Linked DNA regions of Arabidopsis thaliana. The protein of the gene in region 3 interacts with the protein of the main gene of each other region in a pairwise test. Each region holds a gene or a part of one and is shown on either strand. Other genes may lie near its edges.

Region 1 (3,821 bases), on a different chromosome or scaffold from region 3:
TCAACACCGGATACACTGGCATATCCGCGTCATTCGTTGAGCCGTGCAGCATTGATAACAAGTGGTAGTCCGATATTTTTCCTAGATGCATATACCACTTTGATAGTCTTCTACTCATCAACAGCAGACCCGTCAATACCTTTCCCTCCACCTCAAGACTGTAAGTTTTCTCACCAAATGAAATCCAGTTCAACCACCTTTAGATCTTTGAGACTATGTTGATTCGAAAACTTATATCTTACAGGTTTATTGAGGCAGACCATAAATAAAGTGAAGCAAGAAAGGAGCATCACACCAAAACTAGTGTTTATCCGAGGAGGACGAGACGATGCTACTGTCTTTGAGAACTATCTTATAGAAGAACAAGATGTGGACGGTAATGGTTTTGCTAGCGCCATGGGTTTCGTGTCTTTCCTCGATGATATTTCGCAGCGTGTCACTGAATACATGAAGTGAAAGCCAAATGACCCTCTAGTTTATTATACATCCAAACTCAAAATTTTCAACTGTGTCAGAGTTTTACTCTTCTTGTTGTAACATTTGCTTTAGACTAGCATCCCAACTTTTTTGCTCTCTTAATCAAAATGAATAATTAAGCTAAAATTTTGTTGCAAAACTTCATTTTCTAAACTTTGACTTACATATTTGGTAACACTAGAGCCAAAGAGCAAAAAGATATGTTAGTCTATTACATGCTCATGGCCACAACCACTGCTTCAAGCTTACAAGCTAATCTCCAACATAAACCTGAAAACATGTTCTTAGCAAAAATATAACCTTGAGTTCATTCATCTTCTTCATCACTCTCTACCTCTTCACCACTTCCACTTACGCTCCCGTCCTCGTTCTCATTATCTTCACCAACCCCGCTCCCATTTTCTTCCATGCTATGGTCCTCATTCCCGCTCTCTTCGCTCTCATTCCCATTCTCTTCCATGCTGTTTTCCTCATCCTCCTTCTCGTTCTCCTCATCATTCCCATTCTCTTCCGTATTTTCATCGTCGTTCTCCTCATCATTCCCATTCTCTTCTGTATTTTCATCGTCATTCTCATCTTCCTCATCGTTTCCATTCTCATCCTCCTCATCGTTTCCATTCTCTTCTTCCGTGTTGTCATTCTCAGTCTCCTCGTCATTCCTCTTAGTTTCCTCATCTATTTTGCTTTTCCTTGCACCCTTTTGCGTAGATGGTTCTTCCTGTTTCCTCTTCTTCGTCTCTTTGGGCTTCGAAGCAGTTCCACTTGAAGATTTCAAAGCAGCTCCACCAGCAGGATACGAAGCAGCTGCAGCACCCGCCTTTTTCCCCGCATTCTTCTTCTTAAAATCTGAAAACCAGTCATGTGGATTACACTAGGATTGACATCATAAGCTCAAAGTGCACACACCTAGGCCAGTGTCCATAACAAGACAAATCACAACCTAAGCCATTTCTACTAACACTCCATGAAAGTAACAACAGATAGTGACAATAGGATCTTCATCCGAACAAAACACTTACCTTCAAGAGAAGATTTAAGCGGCTCCAAAAATTCTGAAAAATCCATTTCTTCTAATGCCTTAAACACATCATCAGCCTTCATAGTTTGTCTTCTTGCATCTTTACAAAAATCATTTGCCCTATATCATTCACCCCCAAATTAAACTAAATCCATCAATTCGATCGATCACAATTCACAAACACTAACATTCATCAATTGAATCACATTAACATAAACCCAAACTTGGAACATTCCAAATCATTCACTATCATAGTGCAGAAATTCGAAAAAAAGTTAGGGTTTGTGAAGTGTACATACGTGGCGGAGAGGTAGTGGATGAAGATCCTCGCACTCTCTGAGAATGCGAGCAAAGCTTCCTTGTGAATACTGACGTCATAATCCGGCGAACACTCCGACAGCTTCTTCTTCACCACCCGGCGCACAATAGCTAGCGGCAGCTCGTCCACCACCACTTTCTCCGACTCCATTCTTCTCTCCTCTCTCTCAGTCGCCGTCTTTCCCGCCTTTATGTTAATAATACAACAAAACACATCGGCCCAGTAAGCTGATCAGCCTATTAAAATATTTAAAAGCCCATATTCAAGTTTATAAGCACTAAAGAGTTATGACCACGCCGCTCAATATTACCCGTTGGATTGATTGACAAAATCCTAGCCGTCAAATCGTACTAGCAAATCGGCCCATTATTCAAATTGATAAGCACTAAAGAGTTATGAGCACGTTGTCAATCTCACCGTTGGATAACCTTTATTAAATCTTCACCGTCCAATCGTAATACTAATAAATTCGATCAAAACACGAATAAGAATCGGAGTCGTCTTCAACCTCTGGAATTTGAGACATCTTCGAATAACCAGATTCTCCGAATTCGAGCCATTTCTAAGAATTTCATACTCTGATTAATGTCTTACTCAAACGCCTACGCACCGTCGGCACCGGAGCTACCAGAATCGTTCGTTCAGCAGCAGCACGATGGTGAAAGTAGATACACTTACGCGTATCCATCATATCAACCAACTCAGCAATTCAGCTCTTACTCCGGGATGTTTTCCCCGGAAACGCATCCGGAGATTGTGAGGAGCTTTGAGTCGGCGGATAGAAACCGGAGCGGATTTCTCGAAGAATCGGAGCTCCGGCAAGCGTTGTCGTTATCTGGGTACGATGGAATTAGTAACAGAACGATTAGGTTGCTGTTGTTTATTTACAAGATTCCTGTAGATTCTCTGCTTCGGCTTGGTAAATTCACTTATTGCAGCTTTTGAAATTGGCTTTTTGATTTCAAATATGAATGATGTTACAAAATAGCCATGTTTCTACCTTTTTATGTAGGTCCTAAGGAGTATGTTGAGTTATGGAACTGCCTTGCGCAATGGCGTGTAAGTGAACACTTATGTGGATCAATCTAGTTGAGGCAATGTGTGTATTCTTCTATGCCTTAAAAGTTAAAAATGGAGTGTTACTTTTCAATGTGTGTTCTTTTGTAGGCAATATTTAACAGGTACGATAGAGATAGGAGTGGAAAGATGAATTCTACCCAGCTCAGAGACGCTTTCTATAATCTCGGGTGCGTGCTTCCAACCTCGGTTCACCAGCTTATCGTATCTCAGTTTGATGATGGGACTGGCAAAACTGTTGACCTATGTTTCGACAGCTTCCTCGAGTAAGTTTTCTGTATGTTTTCATCGATTCTTGCGGTTCTTAATTTGTATACTAAGCATCATCGGTTTGTTTCCCTCATTTTGTTCTGCAGGTGTGGGATGATTGTGAAGGTATGATCTTTTAACCTCCATGAGAATTTCGACAATGTGTTTACATGAATCTAAACCACTTGAAATTGTTTAAAATGTGTCGTATGCTTATTAACAGGGATTGACAGAGAAGTTCAGGGAGAACGACCCTGGTTACACAGGCTACGCAACGCTCTCTTACGATGTCTTCATGTTGATGGTCATTCCGTTCATCGCCACCTATGATTAATGGTCACTTGCTACTTCTTTCTTTTTCTCAATCACAGATTCAAGTTGTATATAGATAATAGATGCCTGAGTACTGACTGAATAGGAGAGTGAATTCAAACTAGTGAATAGTGTAATAAGCTAATGCTGAAGAGAGCAAGAGAATAATAAATCAAAGCTTTAAGATTATAACAAGTTTTTTAGCAGTAACAGAAGTGAAATGTTAAGAGCCAATTTTGAGCTGTTTGCAAACAGATAATCCTAAAATCACTGAACCAAGGACCGAGAAGGCTCCTTGCCTTGAACGCCAAAACTCGATCCACGTCAATGGTCTTCTAATTTCAATCAAAACCTTCTCGAACTGTTGGT
Region 2 (3,138 bases), on a different chromosome or scaffold from region 3:
TTCCTGATTTTACCTGGCTGATGTTTTGTTTAGTTTTTTGATAGAAACTTAGTTTTGATATTTGAGTATTGCTTGTAAGAAAAAATCTTTGAATATTTGTGGCATAACATGGACTAATGGAAAACCCAAGCTCTTAAAAACCTGGACTCAAATATGAAATTTTCGCATCACAACACTTTAAAAGAAAAACTAATATTACATGCTGTGGTTTCGGGCCTGGAGGAATTACGGGCTTCGGCCCAGAACCTCCTGAATTTCAAAAAAAAAAAAAAAAAAAAAAAAGATCAAAGATCAAAGATCAAAGGTTACGTTTTAGATATGCCCTTGATTACATCTCATGTTCCCTGCATCAAAGTAGAAAAAGTTTTTCAATGACTCTTTTTAGCTTGATGCTATAATTATATTCCCACTACAATTTTTTAGGAAACATTTTACTCTAAAAAAAATGTATGTCTCTCTCATTTGATTTTTCCTCCTAATTCAACCATAAACTTCGATATCCTAGTTTACTTTTGTTACTTTCATCTTTCACGAATAAACACCCTAACCTTCTTTTATTCTTTTTTTTTGAAAAAAGTAACACCCTAACCTTACGAATCATAAATTTAATATTTATTTTGTTACGTTAGTGGGTTGAACCTAGTTTTAAAAAAAAAATTCTGTAAACATTATACTAAAAGTTAAACATATATATATATATATCATTAATTAATAAAAATGAAAATTTGCTTTTATCATTTTACAATTAAGAAAAATGATGGGAAAATTGATGTCCCATCGTAGTCACCATGCCACCACCGTACATCGGAGCTCCTCCACTTCCACTTCCAGCTCCACCGCCTCCTCCTCCACCTTCCTTATCGCCTTGTCTCCCTGCCGTAGTAGTCTTCTCTCCTTCCACCTCCCTATACTTTTGCAGATAAACCTTGAGAGGCTCCACGTAGTCCTCAAACCCTAGCGTAGTCATCGCCCAAAGAAGATCGTCACCGTTGATTGTCTTCCTCTTCTCTCTCTGACACTTGTCAGAAGCCTCACCGGTGATGAAACTTATGAATTCCGATACACACTCTTGAACCGTTTCTTTAGCATCCTTAGAGATTTTTGCGTTCGCAGGAAGTGCTTTCTTCATGATCCTGCTAACGTTAGCGATCGGTAGAAACCTATCTTGCTCACGTGTCGAAGCATTTCCACCGTCTTTGTGTCCTCCTGAATCGTTGTCCGAATCCGCCATCTTTAGATCGAGGAGACAAAAGGTCGAGAAAGAGAGATAGATGTTTTGGGTCCGTTGGATCAGAGAGGATAATAATCGTATCGTGATGACACGTGGGTAGTTATAGGTCGATTGTTTGTCGATAAGATTATTACAAGTGGATGTTATTTGGATAGAAAAGGAAGAGAGAGACTTGATAACCGGTTCTGTTTTTTCGGTTTGCCTTTATTATAAAAGACTCTTGAGTTCTGGTTATATATGTACTTTTGGTTTTTGTCGTTTATATCATGAAATCAAAAAACAAAACCCCTAATTCAGATTTTATTAAATTGATTTGGGCCAAAAGAAGACAAAATTTTGAATTTCCTCTTGCAATGGGCCTGATACGGGCCTAGATCCCTCCTATAAAACCACCGACATTTTTATATATACAATTGTTTCTAGGTTTCTTGTTACATACACTATCTATAAAGAGAGAGAGGTAGTGTCCCTCAAAATCTCTGTGAAATCAAAGAAAGCAGAATGGGAGGACTAAAGAGAAGAATTTCGATTGAGAAGATTCAGAAGAAAGAGTCACGAGCCGTTTGTTTCTCCAAACGTCGTACCGGTCTTTACAGTAAAGCCGCGGAGCTATTATGTCTTCTCTCCTCCGATTCACAGGTTGCGATCTTGACGACTCCTTGTTCTTCCAACTCTCACGTCTCCTTCTACTCCTTCGGCCATTCCTCTGTTGATTCTGTTGTTTCCGCTTTCCTCAAGGATCAGGGTCTTGTTCGTAAAGAGAATCTAGGGTTAGAGTTATGGTGGAAGACGAGAGTCTTGCTAAATCGGAGGATTCGGAGGAGTTGAGAAAAGCGATTGAGTCGATGTCTACGATGTTGAGAGATCTGAAGGAATTGGAATCTGTGAATAATTATCGAAGAGATCATCAAGAGGACGTCAAGATTAACAACGACATCAAGATTAAGAATCTTGTTTCACACGAAACCCTAAATCTTCAGTTAAGTTCTGCAACTTTTGGCGTTCCTGATGATGATCGTCTCAAAGAAGAAACGGAGATGGTTGTATTCGATGATCAGATCTTGGCGATTTTTGAGAGTAACGACAAACCTACAGGAAACTTGGAAGATCAAGAGATAGATCTTGATCAATTCCTAGATTTTGATCAACTCATAGATTTCGAGGGTTTGATCGATGGCGATTACTAGAGCACTCAAGAGTATCCAGAGCCTGCTGAGACTCGTCTTTTGATGAATTCGAAGATGGAAGATGTCTCGATGGTGATGAAAAATCCAAATCTGTGGTCTGATTCACAGAGGTTTAGATGAAAGATGATCCTTTTCAATGAGTTACCACACCATTGATGCAGTTTGAAGATAGCTCAGCAACTAATTTTCTTATATGCTTTTGTATGTATTAGTATTATATCAATATGTAACTCTGTCGGTATTGACCAATTGAAATTAATAGAATGTAATTGGTTCTGTCAACTTTGTTTACAAATATTTCTTGTCGATCCAGTTTAACACGAAACAACCCCAACGAATCTGAGGTTAACCTAAAAGCAAAAAAGTATCTAAAGACTTTTAACTTTTGGTGCCTTGTTTGGGTTACATGTATGGCTCATCTGACCCTGTAAGAGAGATGGGACCAAATGAACCATTGCCTTCCAAAGTTGCAAGAACATAATAGTCGTTTCTTCTCTTGTGTGGTCTCTCTTTAAACCGCACAGCCAACACCTGAAACCGCACAACAACTCCAACAGCAATCTTTGAGAGGTCGTCTTTCTGAAAATGCGGTTTCTCGTCCTCCGACAATGGTGAGTGGACATAATGATAATGTGGCATTTTCAAGAGTGAGAGGTATGCGTATCTGAGTGGTCCTGACCTGATAAAAGCTCCGTTCCACAACACTTTTTTTACAGTCCC
Region 3 (4,178 bases):
TCATACCCATCATATTATTTGAATTTTTAGTTTTACCCCCAAACTCTTATTTTGGATTATTTATTTTATAACAGAATTATAAAATGTGTAAAAAGAAAAGAAAATGTGGAAAGTTTTTTCAAATTGGTCTAGAAGAATGATTTTAAAAACCTTTTTTTGATAATTGGCTTGTTTTACTAATATTATAATTTGATTAGTAAGAATAATTATGGTAAAAATATTTTCTAAATATTTTCTGACCAATTGTCCTATAATTATAACTAGATTTTAACTCAGCGGTACACCGCGGAAACAATTTATTTTTTAATGTTAGTATATATAAAAGTTTACAAATTGTATCTAACTATAAAATATTTTTATTTTATAGTTTACAATTATTATTAAGTAACGTCCTGTCAAACCCGTCCAGTAAAAAAAACCATTTATTTTATTAATGTTGATCTTATTTATGATATGTTTATGAATCATTGTCTAAATATTTTGTAATTTTGTCTCTGTTTAGTTAATGTGGAGAGATTTTGGAAAGATTGTTAAATGTCAAATATTTAATTCGAAGATTTTCTTTCTAATTATCAAATACAAACATCAAAATCCAGTGGCAGCCATTGTAAATAAGTCCAACTACAAAATTTATTTCACAAAATGGCTGCAAAAATGTATATATAGATACTAAAGAAAGATATTAGAATTCCGACAACTCTTACAAATTTTAACTTGAAACAAGAAAAAAAATGTATACATTCTAGAAATCAAATATGTGCAATCTCAGTAGTGGTTAATAAGAAAGGTGAAGATCGGGCGGATGGAACCTATGAAGTATAAACCAGGACAGGGACACAAATTTGAATCCAAATGGTTCAGTTCGATTCCAACCGGATTTATTTCAGCCTGCATCTGTCATGCCTCTTTCCCATTCCTCCAACGCGGCCTCTGCTTTAAGTTTCTCGGGAACACTATCTGCATTCAAGATATTACAGGTATTAAAATGCTGTTCGTAAACCACATGGAACTCATAAAACGAATACTTCAGAGGTTATTAAGTACCTGCAAGGAACTCGTATCTCTGGTCGTTACTCACTACGGATGCTGCCAACGAGTAGAAATGACAGTGTCATCAATTATGTTAGGAGTGCAACAAATCTTGCAAGTGATACGAACGGATTAACTCATTATCTAAACTCTTCCTAAGACTAACTACTGGCCCTTGTGCAGAAGCCAGAAATCCTAAGTTCAGCAATTGGTGCAGCAGCATGAGATTTTCGACATGGGATTCAGTATTGAGGTAACCAGATATTGGCAAATAGGGACGAGATTAGAGCTTACAGAGGTGTTTGTAGTGGATGAATTTCTTTTTGTCCTTGACGGAACTATCATAAGCTTCTTCAGAAAACCGCTCAATGAACATCTCCTTCAATCACAAAAACCAGTTAATGTACTGTAAACGCAATGAACATCAATTTCGATGAACACAAGATGAAATCAAAAGAAAGAAAAAACAATGCCAAGTTCCAATACAGGAAAATTAAACACTCATCACTTAAGCTTTGAAAATATGAACCTAAATCATATATAAGGACTTTCTCATGTGTTAGGTGTCTACAAGTTCTGGATGTAAAAGCTAAACCTATGACAATCAAGCACAGTAACTACGGTTTCATCAAACACACATGGAGATGAAGCAATAACGTTAATTCCCGGCTTAATTAACAGAAACAATCTCATTACTGTAGCAATTTGCGAGATTATAACGCCCAATTAACACTGACTAGCAATTGATACTCCCAAATTCATCAAAAACCATGTGAAATTAAGTTCCTCAAGCTAAATTTATATGTCTAATTAGTACTATACCGTGGCTTTGTTGACAAGAAATACAGCATCCTGCATAATCTGAGGAGCAGAATTATCGCTTCTCATGATCCGCCGAATCCGATTCATCGGAAACTTGATCTTAGCATCTTCCGCGCCTCCATCGTCCTCTTCTCGATTTTTACTCGTCTTCGTCGGAATTCCTACACTCTTTCCGTTACCCCTCTTGCTCACGACGCCGTTACTTTTCTTCGCCTCATCGCCTCTTATTGCTTCTTCCACAGAGTCACTGCTCGATGATTCTGAGATCTCGTAAATCTCCGGCTTCTTCTTCACAATGTTAACCTTGTTCGACGTCTTCTTCGTTCTGGAACCGGAGCTGCGTTTACTCCGACCACTCGCTTTATTGACGACGACATCGCTCCTCGCCTTCTTCTCCTTGGGTTTCTTTGACGACACCATTAATTTTTTAGAACTACAGTATGTTTCACCCTTTCGCCTGAATAAATCGATGGATATTTACATGGGCTTATTTGTTTGAGCCTTTTAGGCCCATTTATCATATGATCAATTTAAGGAATGGACATGGTGATGTTGAGGAATGAAGATGCATGACGACTACTTCAAAATAAATTATTGGACATGCTTTCACTGTTTCGCATACACCTCGTAAAACATTGTATAGTTTATGGAGAAATAAATAAATTAGGGTAAATGTACTTGGGATAAGATAATGTTTTTATACAAGCATCCAAAATACATTATCTTGTTCCCGACATAATGTAAAGAAATTTTAGGGATTAGATAAGGAAGAATGGGTAATGTTGGAGTATGAGACAGAAGAGGTGTCCGCAAGCTGGAACCACCACGTGTTATCAACAACACGTGTGAGTCTCCATGAACTCTCTCTGCAATATTTAAACGTGGCCTAGCTCGTGTTCTTTCAATCTCCAATTATTACTCTATTAATAAGAGAAGACGAGTTTTGCTTTCGATACTGTCTTTCAACTATTCCGACACAACCAAAGCTTCTGGAAACGTTGTCGTTTGTTATCAATAATGGCTGTTGTAGAAGAACCGATACTTTCAAGATTGGATCGTATTGATTTCATGGTGAGGAAGTTAGAGGAGATGAAAGGAAGCTCGCCTAGAAGCTCGAGCCCATCGACTCCATCTAGTGGGACTCAGCCATCGTCAATGGATCTGTCGTCACCGAGGAGCATAGGGAAGGTACACTGCCGTTCGATGGAACAAGTCAGGGAGGAGACTGAGCGGAAAGGAACTTTGCTAGAGAGACTTAATAATGTAGAGGAGCAAGTGCTTAAGCTGTGTTCACAGTTTGAGGAAGAAGTTGAAGAAGAGAGGAAGAGAGAAGATAAGACGGATAAGGAAAAGAAGACCCCGAAGAAGAAGAAGGGATTGAGGAAGCTGGTTGATAAAGTTGTTGGATCTTCTTCTCCCACTAATATCCATTCCAAGAGCTGGCGTTGTTGAGTCATTGTAGTACTTTATTACATCATCATGTATACTTCAACGTACCACGTTTAAATGAAAGCTTCTCTTCTTTTTTCTTTGTTGAAGCGCTAGTGGAAAAAAATATCTTTAGGTCTCTCACTCTCTTGTTTGATCGTTTGTTTGTTGAGGTTTTTTGTTGTCCAGTATGCACTTTTTAAGTGAAAACAACAATGAATTTTCAGTGTACTTTCTATTTTTCAGAGTGCACTTTTCAAGTGAAACAATGAAAATTTGAAGGAAAAACAAGTACACACCTATAAATGATTAGAAAAACGAAGATGTGTGTAGTCATTTCCATAAACGTAACGATAAATTCTCAGTGGAGATGGTTAAAATAAACCGTAAATAGTTAAAATTTAACAAATGCCCAAGGTTTTGTGTAGAATAGAACAATTTAATTTTATATCTGTTCTCCGGGTTTTCTTGCTTCCCGATCAAATTGGGGTGTCAACATTTTGATCTAAAAATCAGTGACATCATATATGAGACTTTTCAACGTGTTTTTTTTTGTCTAAAAAAATTTCATCATTCTCTTGTCAAGTATTATGTAAGGTTAACAAATCTCCTCATAAATTTTTTAAAGATCGAAAATTTTCTAAAAATATGTAAACTTTTTTTCGTCTATGGTTTCTTAAGGTGTGAAGAAAAAGAGGCTGTTTACGGAGTTCACTCTGTTTGACACTTCAACCAACTTTTGTCTTTATATGTTTTTATTCTACACCATTAAATCAAACTTAAGACAATCATATGCATTTCTTTATCCACAAAATTGATTTGCTTATTGTACTTCATCATCCCGTTGTAAAATTTATAAGCACAATTTTCGCCAACTATTTATTCCGCAAATTGAACAG

Evidence for each region. Proteins that work in one complex are often made in the same cells at the same time.
Region 1: the proteins of NF-YC10 (region 3) and NF-YB11 interact in binary tests that used the Arabidopsis thaliana proteins (3 or more experiments, as listed by UniProt).
Region 2: the proteins of NF-YC10 (region 3) and NF-YB3 interact in binary tests that used the Arabidopsis thaliana proteins (3 or more experiments, as listed by UniProt).

Annotation. Positions count from the first base shown.
Region 1 is NC_003071.7:11,744,412-11,748,232, forward strand, and holds NF-YB11 (nuclear factor Y, subunit B11), read right to left. Parts: upstream 2,045-3,821; 5' UTR 1,965-2,044; coding exon 1,795-1,964; intron 1,776-1,794; exon of another isoform or gene 1,616-1,775; coding exon 1,497-1,615; intron 1,324-1,496; coding exon 785-1,323; 3' UTR 570-784; downstream 1-569. Other genes in the region: AT2G27460 (sec23/sec24 transport family protein), read left to right, coding at 1-160, 245-456; AT2G27480 (Calcium-binding EF-hand family protein), read left to right, coding at 2,400-2,733, 2,827-2,873, 2,982-3,157, 3,248-3,266, 3,364-3,474; ATCOAE (dephospho-CoA kinase family), read right to left, coding at 3,676-3,821. UniProt on the Arabidopsis thaliana protein: Component of the NF-Y/HAP transcription factor complex. The NF-Y complex stimulates the transcription of various genes by recognizing and binding to a CCAAT motif in promoters.
Region 2 is NC_003075.7:8,342,756-8,345,893, reverse strand, and holds NF-YB3 (nuclear factor Y, subunit B3), read right to left. Parts: upstream 1,546-3,138; 5' UTR 1,232-1,545; coding exon 746-1,231; 3' UTR 570-745; downstream 1-569. Other genes in the region: AT4G14530 (agamous-like MADS-box protein), read left to right, coding at 2,011-2,418; AT4G14520 (DNA-directed RNA polymerase II-like protein), read right to left, coding at 2,821-3,138. UniProt on the Arabidopsis thaliana protein: Component of the NF-Y/HAP transcription factor complex. The NF-Y complex stimulates the transcription of various genes by recognizing and binding to a CCAAT motif in promoters.
Region 3 is NC_003070.9:2,472,640-2,476,817, forward strand, and holds NF-YC10 (nuclear factor Y, subunit C10), read right to left. Parts: upstream 2,490-4,178; 5' UTR 2,272-2,489; coding exon 1,852-2,271; intron 1,409-1,851; coding exon 1,324-1,408; coding exon of another isoform or gene 1,313-1,323; exon of another isoform or gene 1,087-1,312; coding exon 1,045-1,086; intron 958-1,044; coding exon 884-957; 3' UTR 526-883; downstream 1-525. Other genes in the region: AT1G07985 (uncharacterized protein), read left to right, coding at 2,869-3,303.